2 linked regions of the Tamandua tetradactyla genome follow. The main gene of each other region encodes a partner of the protein of the gene in region 2 in a complex. Links are inferred from orthologs where the notes say so. Each region holds a gene or a part of one and is shown on either strand. Other genes may lie near its edges.

Region 1 (15,027 bases), on a different chromosome or scaffold from region 2:
AGCAAAGCTTCCACATACAAAGAATCGTTTGTTGACCTAGTGATGTAAAACTATCACATGAGCCATGTTTACAAGTGTACTAAGAGATACTAATTTCTAGTGTTAAATGTAATGTTGACACACACATAAGAATTATATCGTCTATTCAATCGTCTCCTGGAGTCTTATTATCCTTCCAATAATTTTTACATAAGTATCCTTTACATATTTATTTATATCACCACTTGACTGAACCATTAAATACTGAATACACCAAAGGATATGTATCACGCATACTTAAAATTTTAAATACGTGAAGACTCTTTATAGTGTCTTTAACTTAAAATTGTTTCTAAAAAAAACAAAAGACTGGGCGGGCCACGGTGGCCCAGTGGCAGAATTCTCACCTGCCATGCCAGAGATCCGGGTTTGGTTTCCGGTGCCTATCCATGAAAAAAAAAATTCTACCCTGTGGTAGGAAAACTATTAGGGATTAGACTTCCAGATTTACATGTTCCTATCTTTCAAATTCTCTGTTTTGTTTGGTACATTCTTAATCTGATTCTCTAAAATAAATTAAGTCATTCTCACCACCGGGATCATTCCTGTCAGAAATGGTTCAATTCTGTAGAGGCATTTTAAAAATCAAGGTGCACGAACCTTCATTGTTTAAATAATTCTAACAGTTACTCCTCCTGATGAGTTGTCTCACTGGCCTATTGTGACTGGATGCTGTGTGATGTCCTGCATCCAGAACGTTCTGAAGGATAGGACAAAGCCACAAAAACTTGTGAAGCTTGCATAGTGGTTAAATTAAAAATACTCCCATTGAGGAAGCAAAACAAATAGGCTAAACCAGGCATTTGTTGTACCTTTAAACTTGGCATAATTTTATGGCAAATGTCTAAGAGTTATTTAAAGGTATGAAAAACATAATGGAAATAACTATGTGCAGAAGTAGAGCCCTGGAAGGGCAACCTGCACGGTTTTAGTTCTAATAAAACCCCAGCTCACAGAGACACATTTCTTGGGCAAAGAACCTCAGCACACGCAGCAAGTGCTGTGAAAAATGGCTTTGTTAGGGGAGTTCTCTCTCTGTTCCAAATTCCAGTTCCTTCTCAGCATTAAGGGAAGAAAAAGTAGAAAAAGGAAAAAACAAAAACAAAGGCCACTTTCTTGAGCAGCCCCGACTGTTGCACAACAGGACTGCTGCCCTCCAGCACTGTGCCCACTGTGCCCGCTGCCCACTGTGCCCTCTGCCTGTTGTGCCCGTCCTTCTGGGCTCTGGAATGGCTGTTTTGCAACCAGATGCATTCATGGTATTTGATGTGGTGCAAAAATAATAAAACGTGTGATATCCATGAATTACAGACAGGGCCTCCTGGATTCAAAGTATTCTGAATTAGCCTATGGGTTCATTCTGTGTTTGGACCCTGATGGTCTGGCTCAGAAAGCGATCACTGTGCATCTGTTGTTTGCTGCTCTTAGCTTCAAACATCGGACTCATGCACCAGCAGCTCACCTGACAGTTCTAGGTTATTTTGATAGGCAAGAGAAGCAATTTCATTATGCTAACAACCACTAATTGAGCCTGTCGTGTACTACTATGCACTTCATGTAGTACACATGAATGAGTTTTAAATTTTGGGAGCTGCAGGGTGCAATGAGTGAAAACATTGATACATTAGATGGTGATATATTTATGTGATGGAACATAGCTACAAAGAGGAGGGACATCGAGGGGCACCCAGTGAACTGAATAAACCTTGGCAACAAGGTGTTGTGCAAAATAAGCCAGAAACAAAAGAACACATATGCTAAGATTTCTTTCAGAAAATACTCATAAGAAAACTGGAGCCTAGATTGTAAACTCTTATAGCAGTCACACTTAGTCTGAAGTTTTAAGTGTATTTCTAGATTCTGAGACACTGAGCTATATGTGTATCAGCTGGCATTGCCCTGTGACACCTAGGACTCAGAATGGAGAGCTACAGACCTGAAAGTTAGCATAGCGATATATAATAAGAGTTAAAATAACCAAAAAAGAGATCAGGCCTCAATTAGAGAGAAACACAAAGCCAATCTGGCTGGGTCTAAGGTAAATCAGAACACAGGGTAAAGATGACAGTGTGCGCACTCTAGACCTCCAGCTACTGTACGGCACCAAAGGCAGAGAGGTTTATTATGCATTGAACCTAAATTTTCTGTAACACACAATTTAAATCAACCTGCCTGGAGAGCTCATTTACACAACCCAAACTCCTGGAATCCAGAATGGGAACGAGGTCTTGTAATTCTGTGTAGCTTAATGTAATACCGGTATGCATCTCAGACTATGGTGGGCTGATAGTTAAAAATTATTAGTATTATATAGGAAAGACCCTTGGGGGTCCAAAGGAAAAAAATATGAACTATTAAACTTTCCCATTAGGGAGGCCCTGGGTACCTTCTCAACCACTAGGGACTCCCAAGAACATAGGTTAAGTCCTTAATTTTGAGGCTTGTCCTCATGAAACTTATTTCTGTAGGGGGAATCTAAGACTACCTCTAACAAGGCCTAAGAGTTGCTTCCAGGAAGCCTCTTTTGTTGCTCAGATGTGGGTGCTCTCTCTCTAAGCCCAACTCTGCAACTAAAATCGTTGCCCTCCCTGCTACATGGTATAAACCATTCAGGGGTGAAAATCTCCCTGACAATGTGGGGCATACTCCTGGGGATAAGTCTGGTCCTGGCACTGTGAGATCAAGAATGCCTTACTGACCAAAAGGGGGAAAAGAAGTGAAATGAAATAAGGCATCAGTGGCCTAGAGGGATCAAATGGAGCCAAGAGGCTATTCTGGAGAATACTCTTAGACAAGCTTCAGTTAGATAGTGCTGATTGCCATGGTTTGCTAAAAACCCCAACCAAAATCCCTTCTGTTGACTCTCAAGAACAGCTAGGGCTCAAACTGAGACTCTATCATGGTTCCATGCACTACATTTGCTTTCCTGAAACCTGTAATTCCCAGAGGGTTCCTAGGTCAGATAAATCCTGAAACTCAGAGGGACCAAGATTATCAAGTAATTATGTTCCCCTATCCTTTAGTGTTGACATCCCTTCTCAACACGAGAAAATCAGAACGGGCATTGTCCGAAGATCTGTATAGACTAGGAGAAAGATAAAAGGAGAAGGAGGTATAACAGAGAAAATGGGGTTTATTGACTATGGTTGCTGAGTCACTATGCTAATATTCCTTCTAGTCTCCAGCGTTTGGGAGCAGCTAGAAGGAAAAATCTGAGATGGTGGAATGGGAACCCGCAGCCAGGTGCCCTGGCCCCAGGCCTCCTGCTGGCTGTTGGCAGTATTTCTCAGAACAGGAAAGACAAATAATTGTCATCACATCAGCTACAACAGAAGCTGTTTGTCCCTCTCCGCGGCTGTGATGAATGCCACCCACGTCCTGCAGCACACAAGCCTCCTTCTCTCCCCACGACGTCGGCCGCTGTAACCGAGCCTTGTGAGCAGGTAGTGCTGGGTGCCCCAGGAGAGCAACGCCAGTGTGCACGGCCTTTCCTTTCCTCAAACCAGAATAACCTCTTCCTGCCCCGTCAGCAGACTTGGTTAGGCCTGGAGCTAGTCACCTAGTTAACTGGTGCTAAGGATTTGCCGGATGGGTGAGTGGTGGACTAAAGAGAGGACTTGCTGAGTGACAAGTGCATCTGTGAAGAGGTGCCTATTAACCCGCCGGCACTTCCAATCCCAGCTTCCTGGAAAGGGAAGCCCTTGCCTCATCTTGACAAATGCTGGGATCCCCACTCTTGGGGAACCTGAATGCTGCATCATCCCCCATCCCTCTTCCATTCAGGGAATGCTCATCGTTAGCTGGAGATCATGCAGGGAGCACACAGCATGGCTGGGACTTCCTAACCTCTGTGCCAATGTCACCCCATATTTTGCAGGTTGAAATGCTGGGCATTTCTCCACAATGCAACAGCCATGAGCCAGGTGGAGGCTCTTGGCTGTGGAGACAGCAAAGCCCCGGAGCTCTTTTGGGGTGTCCTTTCCAGGTGCCATGCCCAGCAGGTCCTTGTTTCCAAACCTCAGGAACCACCTGGCGTGCCTAGTTGGCACACTGCCTCTCTAAGTGTCACTGGCTGCTCGTTCTTATGCACAGCATGTTCATATGGACCATGTCTTGTTACATCAGTTTGGGCATTTTCCATAATCAGAAGTAATTACTGATTCAGGTATTGGTGCGATTGTTTCTCTCTGTATTGTCATTTCTCTAAGTTTATTATTTACAGATAGTATCTCTTTTACATAAAATTTTATTGAAATAATTTTAGTCCAGCAAAGAGTTACAAAAATTTACTAAACCTTTTTATTTTTTGTTTTACCTAGTACATCAGTCTGGGTGCAGTCAGGACATCGTAATTTAAACAGGAGAAGGTTAAAAATAAGGAATTATAAAACTACGCTTTAACAGCAACCACAAAGAAGTAAAGAGAAACCTAAAGGGTGCCTGAGGGCTGAGGGAGAGGGCCAACGCTGGACAGCCAGTGGGCAAGCGGGACGGATGCTGTTGGGATGTGGTCCACGACACACAAAACTGTCCCTGCATGCCACCCAGGCCACGTGTTGGGGCTGTATTCACAGTGAGCAACCATAACCAATGAGGACCTACAGTGGGCTTCACTCTGGATGCAGGGAATTCCCTGAAATCGGTGCTCCTGTGCTGGAAAGCAGCCACTGTACTGGGCACAGGGCACCTGACCATGCACTCGGGGGCAAAGGACAACCTGCAGGAACATGAAGTGATGGCTACCACTTTTCAGTAATAAAACCCTCTGCGTCCAATTCACGAGTCTCATGTCTATGGCTGACATCATAACTGCTACCCTGTCAGCATGCAGGGAGGGTAAAATTTCAGACCCTTTGCTCCAGAGGCTCCACAGCTGGTCCCAGGGCACACAGCGGGAGTCGGGGTCACACTGAAGGTGTGTGCATGAGCAATGCAGGTACCACACCAGGTTGCTGTGGGAAAAGCCTTCCCACACATGCAAGTCAAGGTTGGGTGGATGTGCAAAAGGAGTTGGGGAGTTGATGAATGTGCAAATTTTGGAGCACACAGTGTCCACATCAGGGGAGGCAGACCAAGGTGGTCATCAGGCCAAGGTCAGTCTGTCAGGCCACCAAGTGCTGCCCTCTCTGGGCATGGGGCTGGGGCAGAGCACTGGCTGCACCCAGACAAGGCACTGCTGAAGAGCTGCGAGGCAGACAAAGCAAAACACACTACCCCAGAACCCCAAGTCCTCTTCCTCCCGCAATGTTCTTCCAACACCCTCTACCAGCAAAGCTTAACATCATGCTCGTTGTTTCAGCTTGTTGAAGCTGATGAAATGCAATATATTAAAAAATGGACTGGCTTTTAACAATGGGGATTTATTACCTGAGAAATTACAATTCTAAGGCCCTAAAAATATCCGAACAAAGGCAACAACAGGACGAAGATGGGCTGCTGACGATACACAGGGCATCTGTAGGTCCTTCTCTCCCAGGTTGGTGGCTCCCAGGCCCTGGCTGCACTGGCCTCCTCTCAGTCACCCATCTCCGGGTGTGCCCTTGACTCGCAGCCTCTCTGGGGCTTTAACTGTGAGCATCTCTTAATTTTACTTCTCAGCTTCAATAAAGGATTAAGAAGCACCTTGTATGGGTGGCTCATATCTCAATTGAAACAACCTAACAAAAAGCCCAGCTATACCAGGCCTGCCCCACCCGGAATGGAGTGAAAGAACATGGTCCAAGGGGGGCCTGCAGTCTGGGCCGCGGTCATGATGGACACAAGGTGGCCACGACAACCACAGATCTCAGCCTCTTACAGAGGGGGCCCTGTCACAATAAAGAGTACAGCAATGGACGAGGGAAGGGCACACTGTGGCGTAGACATACAATGGGTGACAAGAAGGACTGAGGTCAGGAGACAGGCAGCTAGGTAACGGAGCCTTGAGGAATTATGTGGAGTGAAATAAGTAAAAAATGAGGGGACAAATGCTGTCAGTCCTCACAAACATGGGCTAACTATAATGAGGAAACTCTGAAAATTGAATTCGACAGCACAGATTATCAAGGGAAGAACGAGGACAGAGATTGGGCAATCGACGATTAAGGAGTACAGAATGTTCAGGAAGGCTTACTACAGATGTCCCTACATTTCAGTCAGCCAACCAAAGGAACTGCTAGAGTCTGCTCCGGCTGCACGAGCTAGCACATCTAATCTGGAATCTCTAGCAAGTGTTCCCATGTCAATGAATTTAGTCCTAGACAGTGATATAGTCCACCCTCCTTAGCATAGTAGCACTCGGAACTCAGTCCTATACATGTTCCCCAATTATTCTGGTGTGTAAGTGGTTGCTTCCTGGATCACAGTATGTACTGCTCCTGGAACATGGTAAGATTCACCCTAGCAATGGCTCTAGGGATAGCAGGTGGTGGCTGTTCTCTTGAAGTGTGTGAGTAACCCCTTTCCAGGCACCCCAGGCGAGGTCATCACGGGGATGTCAGGCAGAGAAAGGCTGGTCTACTCAGACACCAGAGGGAAACCTACTTCCAATGGTAAGGGAGTCTCAGGATGACTTTGGGGAGGTCAAGATTTTCAGTTTCATCTAAGTACAAGATGCGCCCATCCCAAGTGTCAAAATCCTATTCTTTCCCAATCAATGCCCTCATTTTCACATGAGAAAATGTAATTTAGCAACTCATATAACTATATGTTTTATTTATTTATTTTTCATGGGCAGGCACCGGGAATCAAACCCAGGTCTCCGGCATGGCAGGCGAGAACTCTGCCACTGAGCCACCGTGGCCCACCTGTAATTAGATTTTTTCTCTCTCTCTCTCTTTTTTTTGTTGCTGTTGTTTTTTTTCTTCTATTTTATAATTAGATTTTCTGTTTGGTTTTTCAGCAGTATCAGCCCTGCGTAGGGATGGCATGGTGCTTCCTGGTTCCGAGACTGCATCTTGAGCTTGTCATGTTCCCTCTGCAAGCACCCAAGTGCCCTGAAAAACTCCATTCCATACCACAGTCCTTTACTTCCATAATGGCCAAGGAGAGCAGCACCTGGGCTCCCCTGGCATGTGCTTCCATCGGTACCTCACCAGGACCCACAAGGCACAACTCAGTGAGTTGTCTGTCAGCACCATGGTGTGCTGGCATCCAGGTGTCTGTTAGCAAGAAGCCAACCATTCCCTAAATTTCGTGATTTTGGACTATCTCCTGAGACCACTTTAAGATCAATTCTGTGTCAGTTCCAGTTCAGACAGGAGACAGAAACTACACAGGATTTACATAGGGCAGGGTAAATAAAAAGAATTATTAAACTATGATAGGAGAGTGACTATAAATATGTGAAGAGAATTCTAAAGGGGGACCTAGGGCTGAAGGCGAGCACTCAGGGAGGGGTAAACCTGGAAGAGCATCTCCTCCCTCCCCAAGCTTGGATTCAGACCTTGATGGGGAAGGTGTAACTCCAGCCCCCCAGATGGGCAGAGAATTTTCCTGTGCCAGAGCTGGTCTAGTCGCTGGTGAGCAGGAAAACTCTCTGGCCTTCAGGTGAACTGAGGCTGGTAGACAGGTTTGCAGAGGGAGCTGTGGCATATCTACAGGCATGATGTCGGGAGCAAGTGGTGTCCACATCAGGGAGTCTCTGATGCTCAGGTGAGTCAAGGTTGGTCGGCAGGTGTGTGTGTGTATGTGGCGGGGGCTGGCGATGCCCCATGGATGTGAGCTGTTCACAGCGTTGCCGTAGGAAAGCCACAGGGCGGTGGCCACCAGGCCTAGGGCTGGGGTAGAGCAGACCAGATGACCTCACACATCAGCATGATGGGCCAACATGGAGCAGGCCAGGGACAGAAGCAGAAGTACAACAGCCCAGCCCAGGGGGAGAAGCAGAGGATGGCATCCCATCCCCAGTCATGTCCTGCCAGCAGCCACTGGCAGGTAGAAATGCTGGCAGGGTCCTCCCGGCACCACAGCAGGCACTGAAGGGCAAGTGTGGAACAGAGAGGCACACCTGCCCTTGTTGTTTAGCTCCACACACTTACTGAGCTGAAAGTGAGGGACAAAGGGAAATTTACACCAGATAAGCAAAGCCAAGGCTGGCCTCCTCACCAGGATAGGTCTGCCTTAGCCTCAGATCAAGCCGGGGATGCTGGCTCCCTTGTTTCTCTGTTAAGGAAGGGAAGACCTATGGGCTGGCTGGTGGTGAACAGGGAGGTCTCGCTGGTTACAAAGGCTATGCTCAGACCGACAAATAACTTCTGAAGCATCAATTCTAAAATACTTTGCTGATCTGCACATTTTCCATTACCATTTCTGTGCATCTTTGGGATGTCTCATCAGATCAAAGCCTCCTCTTGGAGGCTCAGGTCGGTGCAGCTGGAAATAGGCGTGAGCTGAAGGGAGACAGGGGGCTTGGCCTTCACTTTCCCTGGGCCTCGTCTTCAAAACAGAGTATTTGGACAGGGCATTTCCCAGGCACCACCCAACTCTGGCAAGCTGTGACCTTTCACCCCAGGGTAAAGGGAGCGACCTTGGGGTGCAACTGATGTGTCTTCAACTATATAAAACAAGGGTTTTCCTTAAAACTATCGAGTGTCTGTTATACCACACAGCCAGGGCAGCTGCCCCTTCCAGAACCAAGTTCCACGGGGCCTTGCAGGCAAGCGGAAGCCAGGCAAGCTGGCCTGGGAAGCTGGCGGAGATGACAGGAACTCAGTGGTCCTCACCATTGGAAACTAGCCCATGAACCACTTTATCTCCTGCACACGGCCCGTGCTTGGAAGCTTCTTGCACTTGGCTGTACATTTGCTTTGTCTGAATCCATTAATCCAGCTCTCTCTCCACTCCCCACCCTGGCTTTAGAGGAACATCGATATTCATGTAATAAATAAAAAGCACGAACGCTGACTCCCCACTTCCTGCCCCCAGGTCTTTTCCTGCTTTGCCCGGGTTCAGGGCATGCGCTTGGTCCACGCAGCCCAGTGTGCACTGGTCAGCTCCCCGCCCCCGCCCTGCCTGTGGCCCCATTGGCTGCCGCTGCCTGCAGTGGGACTGCAAGGGGGCCGCAGCTCTTCAGCCTGGGAGAAGGAAGGAGAGAGGGAGGCTCCCGTCCCCAGCGCGCCTGTCGCTCAGAACACCCGCAGCCCGACGACAGCAGCAGGAGGTGAGAACAGGAGTAGGCAGCCCCAGAGGAGATGGGAGCAGGGGTGCGAGCTGGGAGCAGGGGGCTGGGTGGTGGCTAGGAGGCCCCTTAGGATAACCGGCAGAGCTGTAAACGTGTCACTGGCCCTCCAGGTTTTAATCTGAACTCTGCAGTCGAGCTTATTACTGCTTTGTGGACATCTGATGACATCCACGCTAGACTGCAGGAGGGCTTGCTGCCTGTGCTCTAAGACTGCAAATCAGAGAAATCTCCAGTTTAATGACTCTAAGTGACTGGTGATATCTTCCCAGAGGAACTACAAATGCTGCTGCTTCTTTAACTCTTCGAGGTGCAGGGCTTTTCTTCCCTCTGGGACTGAGAAGCACGGAGCCTCGCACCATAATCGATTCATCTCCCGCCTCCTGGTCACTACTTTCAGAGCCTGGGGTAGGAAGTTGCTTCTTGGTTTTCTGGTTTCCATCCATTTGAAATGCCAGAAACTACATGACAACGGAGAAACACTTTGCAAATAAATTATGAACAGGATCAAAGAAAGGAGGGTCTATGGTGGGGTTTCACTCTGTGCAGTGTTGCAATTCCTCCAGGAGGAGAGCTGCTCCTGAAGACCCCCACACCAGACGGACTATATAACTGTGCCTCTCAGAACAGCTGAACTCCAAAACTTCTCTTTTCTAATATGAAAAGATTAATGCAGAACATTCATAAAATGGAGTGAGAAGGAAACATAGATACATAATTTCAATTCCTCTTAAAATCATCATTTGTCCCCCACTATGCGGGTTTTTAATGACATGAGAAAAGGCTTAAATTTGAAACAAAACAAAAAAACCTAGCAGGTTATACAAATCTATACTTAGCATAATCTCTGCTATGTAAAAACAACAATGCATAAGAAGACTAGAAATAATTATCAAGTATTTTCATGGTGAGGTTATATGGGTGGTAAGCTTATGGGTTGTTTCTTCTCTATTGCACTTTACTTCTGTATCTTCTGCAAAGCATGTGTTTCTTTGATGATGAGAAAAACATAAACAGGAAAAAGAGAAATAACTTACCAAGTGTCCTGCTTTTTCGCTTTGAGCTTATGTCTTGATGGCTGAAATTACCACACTCTCCAAATCCAGCCCAGTTTTGTAATATGTATCAGGAAGGGTTTATCTATTTCCTCTGCCTGGCGAGGCAGTCTACAGTGGAACTGCACTGATGTCATTCTCTTCTGCTCTTCTGTCTCATCCAGATGCTCTCAAACATGCTCCCACCTCAGATTTATGTCTCAAAAACGAAGAAGTTAAAGCTCTTCTTGATATACCGAACTGCTTTGCTTCTCTTAAGTCTGTTTCTTTTTCATTCCTGATGATTCTCCCCAAAAAGGACCCACAGATGGAAGTATCCACAAGGAAATCTGTTCCCTGGTACTCCTGAGCACTAATCCCCTTAAGAAATAATTTTTTTCCTAAAGTTTTTGAATACTGGGATGTCTCTGAAGACACTCTAAGGAAACTCTCACCAAGATGATGACTAGATGACTTCAGAGGCTACAGCATAACTGGAGAAAGTCCAGAAACCGTACTGATTGGCTTTGTTACAAATTCATACTCTCTAACCTCAACTGGATTTTCACGGCTACTGAGTAATCCTTTTAGCTGTCTCCTCTTAACTTTATATGCATTCCTTACAGCAGCTGCTCCAGTCATTTTCCATTCTCAAATTTCCAAACCGACCCTATGCCCCAATCACCAACTCGTAGCAGCTAACTTCTTTCTTCTCTCATTTTACTGAGAAGATCAAAGCCATCCAATTCTTCAGTCTTTCAATTTCCTTTCTCTATATCTTAATATTTCTCTGCATCTTTACTTTTACTCACCTCTTACCCATTTCAGAGAAAGAAATCTTTACCACCTCTGATTAATCGCTCCATGTGTGCTCACGAGTCCATGCTGTCTCAGTTTCTCTGGGATCTTGCTCTACCTATTATCTGTATTTCACTTACATTTTATTGAGAAATACCCACATACAGTCCAACCATATTACACAATCAGGCTCACTGTGTCACCACACAGTTGTGTGTTCTTCACCATGATCACTTTTAGTACATTTGCATCACTACAGAAGAAGATATTAGAAGAAAAAACTCATACATTCCATACCCCTTACCCCTCCCTCTCATTGACCAGTAGTATTTCAATCTGTGCAATTTTTCACCCTTTATTCCCCCCTTGTATTTATCCTTAATTTTTTATTCATCTGTCCATACCCTGGATAAAAGGAGCATAAGACACAAGGTTTTCACAATTACATGGTCACATTGTAAAAGATGCATTGTTATACAATTGTCTTTAAGAATCAAGCTACTGGAACACAGAGCAACAGTTTCAAGTACTTCCCTCCAGCCACTCCAATACACCATAAACTAAAAAGGGGTATCTATATAATAGGGAAGAATAACCTCTCAACTCTGTTTGAGATCTCTCAGCCACTGAAACTTTATTTTGTTTTATTTCTCTCTTCCCCCTTTGGTCCAGAAAACTTCCTCAATCCCACGATGCCGGGTCCTGGCTCATCTCTCGGAACACCGTTTCCTTTTCAAAAATCTCACTATTCATACTTTACAGAAAAATTACTTATCCCCTTCTCCAAATCATCATGGATTCTAAAAACATTAGGATAATGAAAATGTGGGTTTTTTGTTTTCTTTAAAAAGATCAGTTATTGAAAACCTGGGTCTTATAAAGAATAGTTAAGTACAAAATGTTAAATATTTTTAATGCATCTGAATTATTCTTTCTATATATTTCTGATTTTAGCAATTTAAAAGAACAAAACACAGCACAGTGGTTCTCAATAGTGACTTTGACAGGAAAGCCACAATCAAATAAGCTCACCGCTGCTTCCTCTGGGTTGCTTTCTCCTCGGGAGGCCACCCCGTGCCTGTGCAATGCTCCATCAGTGGAAGCTGCGAGAGCTGATGAGAAAGCTGCACAGCAACTAGGGGCAAAATGAGGACACAAAGACCAACAGCATTCCTAGATCAGATTCCTGATCTTTCCACAGAAAGATAAGACCAAGACAGAATAACTGTAGTCCTCTTTCCTCCGAGGGATGAGAATTCAATAAAAATTTAAACCTTTCATTGCAATGTTTCTAAGAAGTGATGTATTCAACACAGTGATGTACTCAAATCACAAGTGATTTTCTAATGAGATTTTATGTCATTTTAATTATGACTACAAAACATTCTTACTTGATTTGATAGAATGCACGCTCAAAAGTTGTTAAATTTCTCTGCCTGAGTCGAAAAAGTTTTGGGAGACAATTGACACGCCTTCCTTTGTAAAATGTGCCACGCTCCCAGAATTGCACAGATATTCCCTGTGTTAGCAGGCCATGGTGGAAGGTACATGGTGTTAGCAAGGTAGGAAGTTTCTGACTTTGACATCTTCAGAGAAACACTTAGCCCAACACTTGTCCAGCCCATTCGTGAATAATCTGCCGTCCCCTCCACTTGAAAGGGCCCCGCATGCATGCAAGACACTGGGCTGGGCCTCAGCCTCCTGCTGCACTCTCTGCTCCTGCATCAGGCCCACTCAGGTTGGCCATGCTATCTTACAAAGGTATTTTCATTTCTAGTAGGTCGAAGTGCCCCTTATTATTCTTTTGCAAAAATCTCGAGGCATTTCCACCCAGTTTATTTTTACAGATGAGTTTTACAGCTGGTTTTGGTCCTATTCATTGTCCATTGAAAACATCCCATTGAAATTTTTATTTAAGATGATTTAAATTTATATATTAACTCAGGGGAAAGAAGGAGCCTACATTTTATGTCCCTTAGACTCCTATGGAAGGATGCATATTTTTCTTGCTAAATTTATTCTGAGATTATACATGTGTGCACTGTTAGATGAATAGGCTTCTACGACTTTATTTTTCAATTGTCTGATGGCAGAATATAGGAAGCTACTGACTTTTGTGTCCTCATCTTGCCCCTAGCTGCCGTGCAGCTTTCTTACAGCTCTCACGGCTTGCGCTGATGTCCTGCTCACCTGCACGCTAACCCTCAGTCTTGGAGCCTGCAAGGTGTGGCCCCCAGGCAGGAAGCTGGAATCAGTCCTCAACCTTTCTCGCGGCTCTGCCTCTGAATTCCTGCTTTAGTCCCCCAATGCCCCACCCAGAGCTGAAGTCTGAGTGCCCAGGAACCTACGGAGGTGGCCTATAAGGGCAGAACAGGAAGGGGAGGGGAGGCAGGTGAAGAGACAGAGGGGGAACCGCAGCCCCTGCAAATTCCTAGATGTCCTCCGGGGCCGCACCCACCAGCTGCGGCGACCCCCTACCCGTTAGCTGTGGCGACCCAAAGATGGGAACCGAGATCTTCATGTGGGGGGGCTGTGTGGGCAGTACATGAAATGTTTTGTGTGCAGACAAGGCAAAAAGTGTGAAGACAGCACTTTTCCTTTGTGGGCCCCTAGGATGTCTGAGCTGGAGAAGGCCGTGGTGACCCTCATTGATGTTTTCCATCAACATTCTGGAAGAGAGGGCGACAAGCACAAGCTGAAGAAGTCCGAACTCAAGGAGCTCATCAACAACGAGCTTTCCCATTTTTTAGAGGTGGGTCTAGCTTTTAAAAATCAATAGTCTACCCATGCTTTTCCTACTTATAAATCCACCTCGTAGACTTTCTCATCTGAGCTTCCCTGAAGGTGATCTCAGTTCCCTCCAAAAACTTGTTTATGAAAATGTGCCCTCGTCATGGTGGTAGCCTGGAGCAGCACCACTGTTTTTGCTTTGCTGTCCTCTGTCCTGTACACAGTAGGTGCATCAAGGAAAAATCGCGGTCTCAAAGGCAAAAAGATAGGCCTCAACTAATGCTGATCTTTTTCTGAAAACCTAAGGTTAGACTGATGATGGTAGAATGGGATGGAAAATATAACTTATAAGCCACAGCGAACATGAGAAAACTATTAAAAATAAGCTTTTGTTTATGGGAAAAGGACATATTTTGGCTTCTGCTGCATGTTCAACAGACACCATGGTGATAAAAGATAGAAACATTTGCTTGGCAAATGTTTATAGAGCACTGATTGTGTCCAATACCACCAGGACAGAGACCCCACTGACCAGCCTCTGCCTTTGGGCACATCAATGAATGGCAGCGACATACTTGACTGAGGACATCAGAGGCCCGGGTGCCCCACGTGAGCTCCGGAGCCTTTCAGGAGGCTTCACCGAAGAAGGGACTTTGGGTTTTGTCCCTTAACTTGGGAAGCTGATGGAGCATTCCCACGGAGACCTGCCCTGCCCCTAGGTACTTTGCATTCTGGTGTGCAGTGAAATTGTGTCCACACACCTACTCTGCTACTCTGAGGGACTCACTCCCCTACACAGATGGTCTCTGCTGCCGCCAGTCGGCTACCACTCCTTCACCCCCACACCAGCGTCTGCTGCTCTCCAGCCTCACACCCTTGCCATGAACTGTAACCTACCTGGGAATTGATATTCCCTTAGTGCTCCAAACCAAGGCTGATCCATAACATGCTTTGAGCCAGACTGAAGTACTTGCAGTATAGACAGGTGAGACATGTTTCCTGCCAGTGAGAGATTTCCTGGGTCCGTGAAGAGACTCAATAGACACAGAAGAAATGTCAGGCAATGGGTCAGTATGCAAGGGTCTGACCAAGTACAAATCGGCAGAAGACAGCAGGGGGGCTACCCAGTAACGGGAGACATCCTCAAGCTACCCGATTCAGGGCTCTCTGCAGGACAACAAGCCCTAGGTACCAGCAGCAAGGTCGACGTGCCATTTGGGGGGCTGGCTGGGGTTCGACTGTCCCTGTCCCCTCCTAAACACGAGGGAA
Region 2 (15,272 bases):
GTCAAAATATAGAAATGTTACACTGGAAATATGTTGCCTTCTCATAATGGGAAACTATTCTCTCAAGATGCAGACATTTCTTTCTTCAAAACCATTCAAGACACTCTCTCCTAATGTGTTCTATTTTATATTAATCTCTGTCTTACTGTGTCAAATATTGTGCAATTAGGAAATTGTTTCCTAAAATAAGCCACTCTCCTAAGATGTGGTTGGCATATAAGCTCATAGAAGCAATCACATGTTCACTCATCTTTAGAATCTAGATTTTCTCTAGAAGCATTAAGAATTAGATTAATATTTATAGTCTAATATTACAATATGCATACTTCAGTCATGAGATTGGCAGTGTAGCAGATTATTATGAAATATATAAGACAAGTAGAATTTAAGTGTCTATAGACCTCCACATATTTTCTCATTTGTTCTAAAATACTTCCTTCTTTCATTCCATTGTTTCAATATATTGCATTTAATCTCATATATATTAAGAAAACATTTCTCATTCATGCCGTTAACTTTGTACTCATATGTTTGTTTTGTGGGATCATCATTTTATATCTTAAACTCTATCTTTCCCAACTGGAATGTAAGTTACATTAGGGCATGCGTGATCTCCTGTAATTTAAAAGCCTCTATCCTCCACATTCCTGCTTTGCATTGTGTCAAACCCAATTCAGGTGAGCTCCTGGTTTTACTCTCTCTATTCCTCTCCACAGTTAGTCACTGGCAGAATCAGCCCTACTCTTATTCCAGTACTAATCTTAATAAGGCAAGAATAGACTTAAGACCTTCTAAGTCAATATTTGAGACCTATCTTCAAATCCTGTTTCCAGCCCCCCTTGATGTGGGGCTCCAGGCTTGATAACTTCCTAACTCCAAACAAGAGCGCCAAAGTATCCCATGTGCATAACCTGCCTTAGTCCTACTGCTATTCCCATGGTCCTTATCTGATAACTTCTTTCATAATGTCTCAGTCACTCCCGGGAACAGAGCCATACCTTACCAGTAAACTAGTCCATCCTGCCCTCAACCTCAGCCCTAAGGCAGCCCTTCTCTGCCTCAATTTCTGAGGATTGTAACAAACTAGGGGTTAGTTCCTAATTTGGCAGTCAAGGAAAGGGAAGAAAAGCTATGAGTCCTCCCATAAATATCTGCTTCATTCCTGTCCCAGTGTTTCACTCATCCTGCTTTCTCTGACATTTCTCTATTCTACTAATCCACAAATATTGTCTTCCAAGTAAATTTAGTGTGCCTACCCCCAGGAAGCCATTCTAGCCACAGCCCACCGCCCTCTGGTCCCTCAGTAACTGAATACCTCTATTTTACCATCCCTGAATTCTCTGCTTATAGAAACGCTTTCGAAATTACGCTTGTTAGCATCTTTTTCTATTACTCTTAAGTTTCCTAAATTTGCTTGTGCAATGTTGGCAACTTGCTCCATTAATTACTTATTGAATGAATGATGATCTGTGTATATTTGTAAGACATCATTATGTATGAGCTCAGGAAGCCCAGTGGATCTTATTTCAGTCTGTCATTCCAAAAAAAAATTGAAGTGATAAAATACATATAATGATACACATAAAGGGTACATCAAGGATGAATGATCCATTAACTAAACATTACTCTGTATGTGTGCGTGTGGAGGGGGTGGATGTATATCCATGTGTGAGACTTGGCTCATTCTATTTATTTGTTTTTCCAACTCCTTTAAGCTTAAATGTGTCAAAATGCATTCTTCATTTCCGGTCATTAAACTAATGTTATAGCAAGGTCCCTCTGCAAGGGGTGCCTTGGCAACATCAATTTTAATGAAGCCTCACAGGAGATTCTAATGTGCCTAAGAGCTGAGAACCACTAATATAACTTTTTTGGGGGTGCTTAAACTAAGCACTTCCAAGTTACAATGCAGGAGAGATCCTTAAACAAGGATTTAAGCCAATGCTACCCTACAGAAATATAATACAAGACACAATGTAAGCCTGTACAGGTATCAAAAACTTCCACAACTTCAGACAACAGCTTCTGACACCAACTATAATGGTATCAGCAATTTATCAACTGCAAAGGGCTGCCAAGCACTCAGTCAATTCAATTCTGAATTCCAGAATTCCAGATTCCCAGATTCCATAGGTTAAAAGCAGTTGTCTGCCCTCCAGGTATCAGTCACAAATGAGGAGACGCAGGCCACTGGCACCTCTGACCAACTGGCTAAAAACTTAGAGATTCCCTCTCACCCCCTCAGTGATAATTTGCCAGAAGAATTCACAGAACTTGCTGAAAGTGCTACACTTATGGGGTTATAGTTTTATTATAGTAAACGGCTACAAATAAAAAGAAGCCAAAAGAAAAGATGTACAATTGGGTGTGTCACATCTCTGTGGGGATAATCTAATCAAAATATTCCAACCTACAGTATTGAATCCAGATTAAAAGAAACTGTTCCTCCCACAAGTTTGGATCAGGATTAAAACATGGTTTTCTCGGGCTTTTCAAACCAGCATAGAGTGACTAGAGGGAAGTACCTGAAACTATTGAACTGTGTTCCAGTAGCCTTGATTCTTGAAGAAGACTGTATAACTATATAGCTTTTATAATGTGACTGTGACTGACGTTCCTTCTATCTATGGTATGGACAGATGAGTAAAAAAAAAAGGATAAAGAAATGATAGGGGGAGATAAAGGCCAAAAATTGGGTGGATTGAAATACTGTGGGTCAATGAGAGGGAGGGGTAAGGAGTATGGAATGTATGAGTTCTTTTTATTTCTTTTTCTGGAGTGATGCAAATGTTCTAAAAATGATCATGGTGAAGAATACACAACTATGTGATGATCCTGCAAGCCATTGATTGTATAATATGGTTGGACTGTATGTGTGTGGCTATTTCTCAATAAAATAAAACACATCAAAAAAGAAAAAAAAGAAAAGATACGGCAAGGTTTGGGAGGATCTCAGGCACACGCTTCTGTGTCCTCTCCCGTGGAATCAAAACTCTGGAACAGAGATATGTTTTCTCAGTCATGGCAGCTCTTCAGATATCCGATATCCCGAGTTTCTGTGGACTCTTACTACGTAGGCAAGATTAATATAATCAATGTCCACTTGGTTGAACAAATCTGCAGCCTCCCTCCCCTTCCAGAAGTTGGGGAGGTGGTCTGATATAAAAAGCCTCAATCCCCTAATGCACTGTTGGTCTTTCTGGTGGGGCCAAAACCACCCTAAGACTGCAGCTGTGTCTGGCCTCACCCTATCGTCTGGTTAGCATGAGCTATCAGGTGTGGTCCTAGACCCACCAAGAAGAACAAAAGACACTCCTATCACAGGAAATTCCAAAGATGCAGAGGTTGCTTCCCTGGGAACTGAAGACAAAGAACAGCCAAGCTTTTCATTATACTGCAAAGCCACATATATAATTATAAATTTTCCAGTAGCCACATCAAAAATGTAAGAAGAGACAGGTGAAAATACTTTTAATATAGTTTTATTAATTCAATATTTCATATATTATAATTTCAACATATAATCAATATAAAATATTATCGATAGCTTTTAAATTCTTTTTTCTTAGTAAGTCCTCAAAATATAGTGTGTGTGTATTTTACACTTAGGCATATTCTCAATTTGGAGTAGCCATGTTTCAAGTGTTCAATATCTAGTCTTACTATATCGTAGCAGCATAGCTGTAAGCTAGGTACTTACAATGTCCTTTTGTAACCCTAACTTTAATACCTAATTCTATCATATCCAGTCATATCTGAAAGGCCAGCAGGACAGGTTTCAGGAATCTCTTTTCTTGAGGAACCAATTCTATATGATTTCAATCCAACAAATATAAACATAGTACATGATGGTCCTTATTCTTAATGACGAAACATAACTATCAATATAATATAGTCTCTAACCCAAAGAGCTTGTAAGAAATACAGTTATGATAGTGTTCATGGGAAAAAACACATATCAAAACAAGAATCAATATATGCAAACTTTTGTGAGAACAGTGGCTAATCATCGTTATTGGTTTCCTATTGCTGATGCAATAAATTGCCACAAATCTAGTGGCTTTAAATGACACAAATTTATCATCTTACGGTTCTGGAGTTCAGAAATCCAAAATGGGTTTCACTAAGCTAAAATCAAAGTATCAGCAAAGCTATTTCCCTTCCATTTTCTTGCCTTCTCTGGTTTTTAGGGACCATCCACATTCCTTGCCCCATTTTTAAAGCCAACAATGGCCAGTTGATTTTTTCTCACATCACATCATGTTCCAACCCAGCTCCTGGGTCAGGGCAGCCCAAAGACCAAAGGATACATCAGGCATGGAGTTAGACATGAATTTTATTAGGACTTACGAACAGGAGAGGATCTTCCACAGTGGTGGCTGGCCGTGGAAAATGAAGGTTAGTGCTCTGCAAAAGGTGGGAGTGCCAAAACACTGCTTATAAGGGTTCAGGACAAAGAAATTTCATACGGTATGACACAGTTTCAACAGGGTCACGTGACACAGGGGCTTGGAGTTTTGTTATCAGTAGTCATCAGGGGAGGGGAGTTTCAATGCCTTGTTTACCACACTATCTGTACATTCTTTCCCCTGAGGATGTCTGATGACCTTTAATGTCTGTCCCAGCCATGTAGGCCACTATGTGTAATGACCTGCTCTCAATATGTAGGGGAATCCCTAGCCCTCGATCCCCACACATCACTCTGACATTGACTCTTCTGCCTTCCTCTTCCACATTTAAGGACCTTGTAATCACATTGGCTCACCCACCTAATTTAAAATAATTTCCCTATTTAAATGTCAGTTCACCAGCAACCTTAATTCCATCTGCTATCTTAATTCCCCTTCGCCATGATTCTGACATATTCCCAGGTTCCAGGAATTAGGACATGGACATCTTTGGGAGGCCATTATTCTGTTGACCATAACCTTGAAAGGAAGGAAAAATTCTGACTCCAGAGTAATACCCATTATACCCAACCCCAACCCACGTCTACGGAAAGAAGCTATGGTCAAGATCAAGTCTCTATAAGAAAATGAGAATATAAGGCATTTTCTACTCCCACTTAGTTTCCATTTCCCCTTCTTTTAGCCACACACCCCAATTTTCCTTCCAAAAAGAGCCCTGAAAGAGGCATAAGAGAGAATCATGCATAAGTAGCTGTTCTAGTATACAAGCTGCCAGAATGTGATACACCAGAAAAAGAATGGCTTTTAAAAAGGGGAATACATTAAGTTGCAAGTTTACATTTCTAAGGCTGTGAAAATTCCAAATTAAAGCAAGTCTATAGAAATGTCCAATCCAAGGCATCCAGGGAAAGATACCATGGTTTAAGAGGGCTGATGATGTTTAGGGTTTCTCTCTCAACTGGAAAGGCATATGGCGAAAATGGCAACATCTTCTAACTTTCCCTCCAGGCTTCTTGTTTCATGAAGCTCGCCCAGGGGCATTTTCCTTCTCCCTCTCCAAAGGTCTCTGGCTGTTTGGACCCTCAAGCTTTTTCCAAAATGGTTCTCCCTTAAAGGGCTCCAGTAAGCAACCTCACCTTGAATGGGCGGAGACACATCTCCATGGAAACCATCTAATCAAAAGTTACCACCCACAATTGTGTGGGTCACATCTCCATGGATAATCAAAAAAGCTCCCACCCAGCAATACTGAATAAGGATCAAAAGGACATGGCTTTTTTGGGGTACACAACAGATTCAAACCAGCACAGTAGCTTTGTGTGTTCCACTGGCATGTGCATATGAGACAGTGGCCAAGGTTTGTTTTCAAGGTTGGTAGGAACAAACTATAAAGGAAATATATTCAGGTGAAGGAGATGCTTCAGTAATTCTTGGTAGCTCTAGAGTAATTCATGTCATAACTTCTCCAGGGGTGGCACTTAGCAGGGACCTTTTCAAAACTAACTGAGGAAATGGACAAAAGTAAGACACACTTACTCAAATATAAGGAACCAATAGTTCAAGCAATTATTTTATTTAGAAAGACAATTGTTTTTCAAATATGCATGATTTTTTCACACCTCTCCACTGCTATAAAAGACATTATTTGACATAATAATGTCATGTCAACGTGAGCATGATAGTAACAAACAACCAGATATCAGTTGTCTAACACCAGTAATTTTTTTCAGAAGTCAAAATTTTAAACTGAAGGTATTAGTTTTCCAGTGCAGATATTGAACTAAATAGTGTCTTACAGATGTTTGTATCTTGTGTAACCATTTAATGGTCAGTCAACATTACCTATTGGGTACCTATCATCTTATATATTACATTATTATTTGTATTACATGTTTCCATTATATGATGAAAAAGAAACATGAGTCTTACCGTCAGGACACTAGGGTTCAAAATAATATCCACTAGACGTGTGATTTTGGTCAAGATATTTAATTTATCTGAGGCTCAATTTGCTGGCCTAAAGATAAGAGGGTGGTACTAGATGAACCCAAAGAATGTGATTCTAGGAAATTAGGTAACCTCTGACCTTGGAGAGCTTTAAACCTACTTGAGGACATAGAGCACATCCATAGGAAAAGAGATCAAAACAGTTACAAGTAAGTTAAAAATAATCACTGCCAAAGGAAGAACTTAAAAAAAAAATCAGATTCTGGTGCTGTTAATTGGGAAGACTAAGATCACTTTGTTAATCAATAAAAGAAAGGTGAGTTTCGAAAATTAAATGAGAAAAAGGTAGGTAACGCTCACTCAGTATGTAAAATTGAGCATGGGAAGAATATTTGTTTCTTTTTTCATCACCAAAAAGTGCTAATTTTCAAAAATGCCAGTGCAATTTCTTTTCAAAGTCTTATAAAGGTCATTCTATATTTATGCCCACTAAATGTAACTGCCTGAAATCTTTCCAGGATTCCTGAGTTACTTGAATTCTATAATTCCTCTTGAACTCTATCAAGAGGGTGACATCGAGAGGTTACTGAAAAGATGATTAGAAATCATACATACTTGCTGGCTGTGTCACCATGGGGAACCATGTAAAGTATCACCAAGGTTACCACTATAAACATGACTCAAATTATTGAGAAACACTACCAGATTTGGGTGAGGTTTTTAAAGGAAGAGAATGGCCAATTAATGAAGCAACAATGTTTACTGAGTATACATTTGTACAGATTATTGATATAAGGGGTTGCTAAGTAAACAGAAAAAAACCTGAAATTAAAAAAAAAAACAAAAAAACCCAGAAGTACTGTTGAAGTAGAAGGTGGCAGATGAATAGAACTGATAATGTGATAGAATAATCTAATTGGGGAAGAGTGCCCAGATTTTAAAGAGGGAGAAAGAAAATTCTTGCAGTGGAAATAAAATGAAAGATAGAATAAGATGCCTGGATTCTATCCCAGTTCTGCCACTTGGAGCTGTGCAACCTTGGACAAATCGTCTAGCCTCAGTTTTCTGCAAAACGGGTATTAATGCTGAATAATCAATGAAAATAAAACACTTTTAATGCTGAATAATCAATGAAAACAATGCCTTGCAAACTGTAAAACAGTAAACGTCATTTATTTACATCCAGTGATGTCCCTGGCCAAACTGCATGGCTTATGCTCTTTCACTTCTCTCTACCTTTTAGCCTCAACAGGATGCCTGCTTTTTTTTCCTGCAGATGTCAGCATTTTTTCTTTTCCTGTTCTTTGCCCAGACTGTAAACCTCTCAATATTATGGCCCCTGTTTGCTTTGCATTTACAAGTAATATTCATACTATGAACACTCCGTAAATTACTTAATAGTAGCGTCTTGTATCTGTACAGTTATTTGAACTCTTTAACGTATTCTCATGCAGCTGTCAGATTCATCTTGCTAGGCTATTTCTGATCAAGTCATACCAGTTCACAAAAGTTACCAACAGCTTTTCATTTTCTACTGAATAAAGTTCTAACTTCCATCTAAATTCTAAGGCCTTGCTACTTAAGGTGTGGTCCATGGAGAAGCAACATTGACATCAGCTAGAAGCTTGTTAAAAATGCAAAATCTCGAGTTCAAACACAAAGAATCAGCAACTGCATTTCAAGATTCCCATTTGATTAAGAGGCACTGGAGATGGGCAAACAAGATCCTTAACCCTTTAGCAAGAGCCTCCTTTCCTGCCTTATTTGTTTCAACTTTGATTAAATATACTGAACTTTCAGTTACCTAGAGTTACTTACTAGCTCCCCTACATACTCTAGGATTCCCCTATTTCTTTGTCTTTGCTTATTGTCTCTTGTATTTTGAATCCCTTTTCCCTACAGCACAAGTCTTAATTTTCTCCAGCCTTTAAGGTATAGCTGTTAGCAAAATTATCGTGTCCATGATATAGTCCCTAATCTTGCCCTCTACCAGAAGTGATTTATTCTGAATCTTCCATAGAATTTTATTGGTAGCATTTTGTACTGCTATTATTTGAGTCCACCTTCACTCTCTTGCTAAACTTGAAGCCTCAGGAGCAGAGTTGCCAGATTAAGCCAATAAAATTAAGGATGCACAGTAAAAATTGAATTTCAGAAAAACAATAAATAACTTTTTAGTGTATGTCCCCAATGCTTCATGGGCTATACTTTAAAAATGTTGTTTATCTGAAATTCAAATTTATTGGGTGTCCTGTATTTAATTTGGCAGCCTATTCAGGAGTGTAGGACTCACCTCTAACATAATTTTGTATTCCCTGAGACTACAGTCAGTGCCTTCCCAAATGCTCAGTGTATGTTTGCTTAATGAATAGAAACATTGCAATTCCTTGAGAATAGGGCTTTCTATGGTTTTGTTTAACATTTTATATGCCTAGAGACCAACACAGTACCTGGCACACAATAAAGGAACAATAAATATTTGTTGAATGAATGAAAAAAATAAATGTATTATGAGCAACCTTCCAGTTATGGACCGGGTTGTGCCTATTATTAAAGCTAAATAATCATTAAAAAAAAATAATGCTTAAAAAGTTTCTTTCGTACGCTTTTTCACATTTTGGCTGGCAGAGTTCAGCACTTGAGGGGAACATAATCAAGGGCTCAGAATGTACTCGTTGCAGGATGGGCCCATATGGTCACTGGTGAGGAAAGAAGCCTGCACTCACGAGGCTGACAAGCTTGCAGCAGGCGGCGGTAGGCGTCTCCTTCCCCCTCCCTAGCCTACGAGGCGCCCGCGCATGCGCGACGCTGCGCTCCTTCCCCGCGGGCCGGGTTGAGGGAGGCTGGGCTCCGCGGCGCGTGCGCGGCGGCCTAGGCGCCGGGCTCCTCCCTAGGCGGGGGCGCGCGGCGCGGAGGACTGCACCGAAAGGGGGAAGTCAGGTGGCTGCTGCCGCCGCTACCGCGGTTTGTCGCCAGAAGGAAGATGGCGGATCTGGAGGAGCAGTTGTCTGATGAGGAGAAGGTAGGAGCCGCGGGGGCGACGGAAGCCATCCGTCCAGGAGCCAGCAGAGGCCGGGCCTGTCAGTCCGGAGTCTGGTGGCTGGGCAAGGGCATTGGCCATCGGTCTGTGCCCTCCGTGCCCTTCCTCTCCTCTTTCCTCCCTGCGCTCCTGTGCCTGCCCCTGTCAGTCACTGGAGGCCCCGCGCGGGAGACAGACCTTTGCCTGGCCTGATCGTTCCGCTCCTTCTAGGGTGTGCGCTCCGAAAATAGGAAGCAGGATCCGGGCGGTGGCGGCGGCGCTGGGAGCTGCGGGCGGGTGCGCGGGCGGAGGGCGGCGCCGCCGGGGCTGTGGACCCGGGTGGGAGTCGCGGGGCCCTGGCCTGTGTGGGGACTGCATAGGGGTCTGCGTTCAGACCCAGGAGCGGCCCAAGAGCAGTTCCCAGCCCTACAGCCGGGCCTTACAGAGTAGCGAGGGGTGAAGGCTAAATGGAAAAAAAGTCTCCTACGAAGCAAACCTCCTTTCTCCCTGCTGCCCAAAGCAAATGCTTCCTTTCTGGGCCCTCTGCTATTTTTTTTTTTTTTTTCCTTCCCATTCCCTGTGGAGGTTTATTGTTGGTGTTTTTGTTGTTGTTTGTCTTTTCTTTTCTCTCTCTCTTTTTTTCTTTTCTGCTTTAGCTGTAGCCTTTGCAGCTCCCGTGTTCCCTGGGAGGCAGCGGAGTTGCTCCTAAAAAGATTTCGACACCCCCACCCCCATAGTTGGTTCCTGGCCAGGTTGACGAGAGCCCTCCTAGGGACTGATCTGGTGGCACCCCGTCTTCCTGCTGGTACTTATTCCGAAAGGGAAAGATTCTACTGTGTATGAAATGTGTGACAAATGCAACCAGATGAGCGACTAAGTTCTCAGGCAGACATTTATAATAAGAAATCTGATCATTGAACTAGTTCTCTCATTCACTCTTTGCTTTGGCTACTGTGAGGCCCATTCTCCCAAGTGGGGATGGGGGTGGGAGGGGACTCTAAATTTTGAGTATTGAGAGAATCTTGACGTTTCTCATACCCAGTAGTAGCTGACATAACAGATCAATAAAGTAGTTAGAATTTTCGAAATGTCCGCTTTTATCAATGCTTCATTTTTAAGTTTCGAGGCAGTTAACAGCCATGCAGTTGCATTGTGGTATTTAAGAAATCCTAAAGTAGGGCTAAGGATATTTTCATTTGGAACTCTGCTCCATATGTTTTTATATCTTTGTATCCTTGTGTCGAAATGTAATGTTCTGTCTCCCTTCCGGTGTGAACATGCAGAAGTCTGCCTCATCTTCATTTTTGGAAATCTTTGTTTCTCTGTGCTCTGTGGTGGAAATGATGATCAAACCCAACAAAATGGAGAGACAACAATTCTCCATAATCCTTCATCACTTTGTAGGCAGATCTCTATCCACAGAAGTTGCTGTGCAGGATTCACATTTGTGTCATTGATAAATAGTCATAAGTTGGTAATTGAAAATACACTTATATGCATGTTTCAAGTCATGTAGTGCTAAAATGCTTTTTTTTTTTTTTAAAAGATTGTCACGTTTTTATTTTACTGTTCTTAAGTGGTGCTCAGTAGCTCAAGTGGCTAGAAATCTAGCTGAGGAGAAAGTACTTGGTGTGGGAGTTAATACAGAGCCATGTGTTGCATAGAACTAAACTGCTGAAGTTTTTTGAAAATGAAATGATGAGATTCTTTTATTATCTGACACTTTTAGGGCACTAAGCTCTGTAAAGAGTGGGGTCTTACTCTCTAATCTTACCTAGCACAATATTTTATGAGTAGATGTGTGAAAATTCCAATTTGAAGGAATTTTGTGTTTTTGTTTTTTGTTTTTGAGTTTTGGAAGAATGTTCTGTAGGTATTTCACATATGAATTTTATTATTTTATTTACTAACTTAAGAAAAACACTGTCCAAATTTTTGGGCTAAATTTAAGTAACTGATTGAATGAAAATTTCATTCTTGTTACTTTAAGTTACCTAAATGTCTTTTTATCGGGGAGGAGGTTATGGGTCATAAATGGAGAGGATTTAAAAGTAGTATTTTTGAACTAACCGTTAAATCATGTTACCCTTTCTGCCATCTTGTTTATAATTTTTCATAAATAAAATTTTAATACTTTCAAGCTTTTGGAATTCCCATTATCAATTGCATATATAAGGAAGGGAAGCTAAAATTTATGTAGTGCTGTACAGTAAGCCTGGTTCAGTTAGGCAATACATATATTACTTAATTTGTTGTAATTTTGAGGTAGGTATTATAACTGTTCCATAGATAAGTAAAGTGAAATTTCAAAAGCTTTAATTCTACCCAAAGACGCATAGATAGGAAGTGGCAGAAGTGATGTTTTTAAACCCAAATTTATCTGAGTACGAAGTTTGAGTTTAAGTACTCTCTCCTTAAATGGCATTATGCTGCCTCAAACAGTTGATTATAGGGCCTTCTTTTGGGTTTGTCTCTTGTTTTTAATTTGTTGGCAACATACTTCAAGAAAGGAAAAACAATGATTCTTTTTTGGTTTTAGTAAAAATTTTAAACACTAAAATTAAAGTGTTGCATTCTAAACTTAATTTGTGTTATTATCACTTTAGGGCAAAGTTTATTATTAGCGTATTTTAAAGTTTTATGCTATGTCTTATGGCAGAAAGCATTTTAGAAACTAATCTAGAATAATATCTTTACTTTTTTTCACTCATGCATGTTTGCTTTTCAGTTATACCACAGTGAAATGCAATGTAATCTTTTCATCTTTGATCACTGGATTAATAGGAAATAAGTCTGTGCTGAAGAAGCACAGAGAAGTTCTTTAACATTATTCATTCGCAGTAGCATGTCCCACGGACTTTTTAACATAGTTATAGAAACTTTCGGCCAGAAACAGTTCAAGTTTTCCATTCCTGGTCTAGTTATATTGTACAGAAAAGCATTTTACTAGATTTGAAATTCATAAAATAAAGACCATTACCAGACCTCTCTCTACATGAGAAGATTCAGGAAGTCACTACAAACTCTAAAATGAAGACAGTCATTGGTTGGAAAAGATGTTTTTTTTTTCCTGAAACACCTCCCATGTTCCTCCAGTGACTTGAGTGATGTTCATGTGGCTAGAACATACCTTAAACTTTGTGGAAGTTTCTCAAGTCCATGACTTTAGCTTTAACTTCTCTCTTGAGCACTGGTCACTGAAGACTGTTAATGAGATATGCTTAGGTAGAACCAACTCCTCCACCTTCCCCACCTACAAAAGGGGATAGAAATCTCTCTCTTGCTCATTTTCCTCTTAATTTCTCTATTCCCATTAGCCCTGTTGCTCAGGTTTTTAACTTCAGCTTTACTTTTTTACCCTGTGCCCTGTACTTTACAGTCAGTTTCTAAATTTTGTCACTTCTATCATCAAAATGTCTCTTATACAAGTAATTTATTTCTTGCTTGAAAAGTGAATTCATTTATATTAATATTTGGTTTATTACCTCTAAGTTAACCAGATAATTTTTATTATTTGGTAATCAGTATTTTAGTGTACAAATGGAATGCCAATTGATTGTACTTATTCTGGGATAGCACAGATAAGGAAGAAATAAATTCAAGAGAAGAAAATAAGGTTAAAAAAATGAAGTTCTAGGCTAAATCTTCAAATTTCCTTATCTAAGCCATGCTTTCATTAGCCATTTCTCTGCTCTCAAAACTTTTAGTGGCTGAATCCTCTCCTGCCTTTACAGGGAAACCCAACTCTTGAAAGTGATATTTATGTCTTTGTATTCCATTCTAATCTAGGTAGATTTGTCATTTTAGATGCATACTGTTATTTAATCATGCTGTGAATTCAAAGAGACCTGCATTATAGTGCGTTTCTAGCACTTTGGACAAGTTAATCTCAGCCTCAGTTTCCTCTGAAATGTGTGAATATAATAAGTACCTTTTCCTGTAAGTGGCTCTGAAAATAGATGGTGGTTATTTTTCTCTGCTTCTGACTTTTCATCCACTTTGAGCATTGGTTCTGCTCCTTAGTCTGTCCCTCTTTTTTCAAAGATGAAAATCTTACTCATCTCTCAAGATTTAGCTCAAGTCACACATGGCTAGTTCAGTCTCTCTTCTGAACTCCTATGACACATCATTAGTATTAAATACCAGTCTTGTATGATAGTTGTTTACCTGTTTAGCAAGTACTATCACACCCCCTAATTGTAGGAATAACGTATTCATCATTTTCCTACATGTCATAAGTAGAATGGGTCAGTGAGTAAATAAACAAAAAAATCATAAATTCACAGAATTAAGAGAAACCACAATGGTTTTATGAAAAATACTAGTAGCATATAATGCATGGTAAGTTTTTAAGATAAATTCCAGCAGTCCTAAATTTTTCATTTCTAAATTAAATGTTTCATTTGGTGCTATAGATTTTTAAAATTTAGATAATCAAGTTAAATTCCTGGCATTCTTTGAGGTACAAGAGGTGATATTGGCTAGTGTTGAAATCACTACATAAGCTTAATATTCTTTATAAGCAATTTATATACTTACCCCTCACTATATATGGATAACTGACTTCAGGAATTCTGTTTGTATATAAAAACCTTGTAAGCCACCATTGTAGTCCATCATAATTAATGTAAAATGAGTTTTACATTAAGCTAATAATGAGGAAAATATTCCTAACTTCATTCTGTAGATGAATGAATTCTGTTGTTGTACCAATAAAATGTAAACATTCCTACAGCAAACAGGAACTTGATAGCAGCTGTAACATTGGTGGAATTTTTCAAACTGCACATTATAGCAAATTTGTAGTACCTCTTCAGTGAATTTGGAAACTATTTTTACATAAAATAAGGGTAGTCATATAAATAGAACATTACATTTCAGTGCAAGAACATAGTATGTAGAAACAGAATACAAACTGATTTTTAACTTTGAAAAGCATGATGGGAAAACTTGACCTACAGGTTTTGTGTTTATGACCTAAAATCCGTATCACCTGAAGCAGTCATTTATTGCAAGAAATTTATTTATGTCAAAGAAAATAGGGTCTTGGTCTTCTTAAGACCTCTTTTAACACATTCCATAACTTCCTGTGGCCATTGTCAAAAAATGAGAATTTCACAAATTTTATTTTGAAGTTTAGACCTACAGTCTTTATATATTCTTTCTCTTATGTTGTTTTTTTATATGTTCTATTGTGAATCAAATGGCTGAGAGTTTTTCTTGCACATTTAATTCACGTTGTTTCTTTTGAAAATGAATGAAAATAACTTTTGAAAACCATTTCCTCCACATTCATTCATTCACCACATATACCATATTTCACTGATTCCAGTGCTTATAATTTTCCGTATTGTAAGATCTCTGAATTCAAGATACATTGTACAATCAATGCCTTGTGATACTTAATTGGTAGCATTTTTCCTTAGTGATACACATAATGATGTACCTTGTGTTGTTTGTGAATCAGGATAAGCAAGGATATAATGTATTAACAAAAAAATGTAAAATGTTAGTGGTTAACTCATGTTTCATTAATAGTACAAGGAGATAGTAGGGTGAGGGCTTTGTACTCCATCTCCTCACCCAGTCTCTTCTAGTGTGGCTAAGTAGGAGGGTCATGTTTGGTGCAGTCACAGAGTTCCAAGCTGTTGGAGGGCTTCAGTATAAATTTAAGCTTCCTTCCACAGTCACCACAATCGTCAGGAGGAAATGCAGTGAAGAGCACACTGTTTTGTTTTTTAATTTAATTTTAAGCTGTTTATTAAGTACAATATACTTTCAGGAAAGTACATAAGTCTTAATTGCTCATCTTGATGACTCTCCAAACTGAATGCAATCAGGTAGCCAGTACCCAGATCAAGAAGCAGATTATCATCTCCACCAGCACCACAGACTGC

What was found.
Region 1: the proteins of CAPZA2 (region 2) and S100B are in contact, whole or in part, in a crystal structure (PDB 3RM1), measured with the Bos taurus proteins. The link is inferred for Tamandua tetradactyla from reciprocal best matches to the Homo sapiens genes CAPZA2 and S100B. Residues at the interface, in NP_001013016.1 of Bos taurus: Thr267, Lys268, Ile269, Trp271, Ile274, Leu275; in NP_001029727.1 of Bos taurus: Ile37, His43, Phe44, Leu45, Glu46, Ile48, Lys56, Val57, Thr60, Phe77, Met80, Ile81, Ala84, Cys85, Phe88.

The regions. Positions count from the first base shown.
Region 1 is NC_135336.1:109,045,845-109,060,871, reverse strand, and holds the start of S100B (protein S100-B), read left to right. Parts: upstream 1-8,969; 5' UTR 8,970-9,178; intron 9,179-13,641; 5' UTR 13,642-13,642; coding exon 13,643-13,780; intron 13,781-15,027. UniProt on the Homo sapiens protein: Small zinc- and- and calcium-binding protein that is highly expressed in astrocytes and constitutes one of the most abundant soluble proteins in brain.
Region 2 is NC_135327.1:156,398,334-156,413,605, forward strand, and holds the start of CAPZA2 (F-actin-capping protein subunit alpha-2), read left to right. Parts: upstream 1-9,218; 5' UTR 9,219-9,339; coding exon 9,340-9,378; intron 9,379-15,272. UniProt on the Homo sapiens protein: F-actin-capping proteins bind in a Ca(2+)-independent manner to the fast growing ends of actin filaments (barbed end) thereby blocking the exchange of subunits at these ends.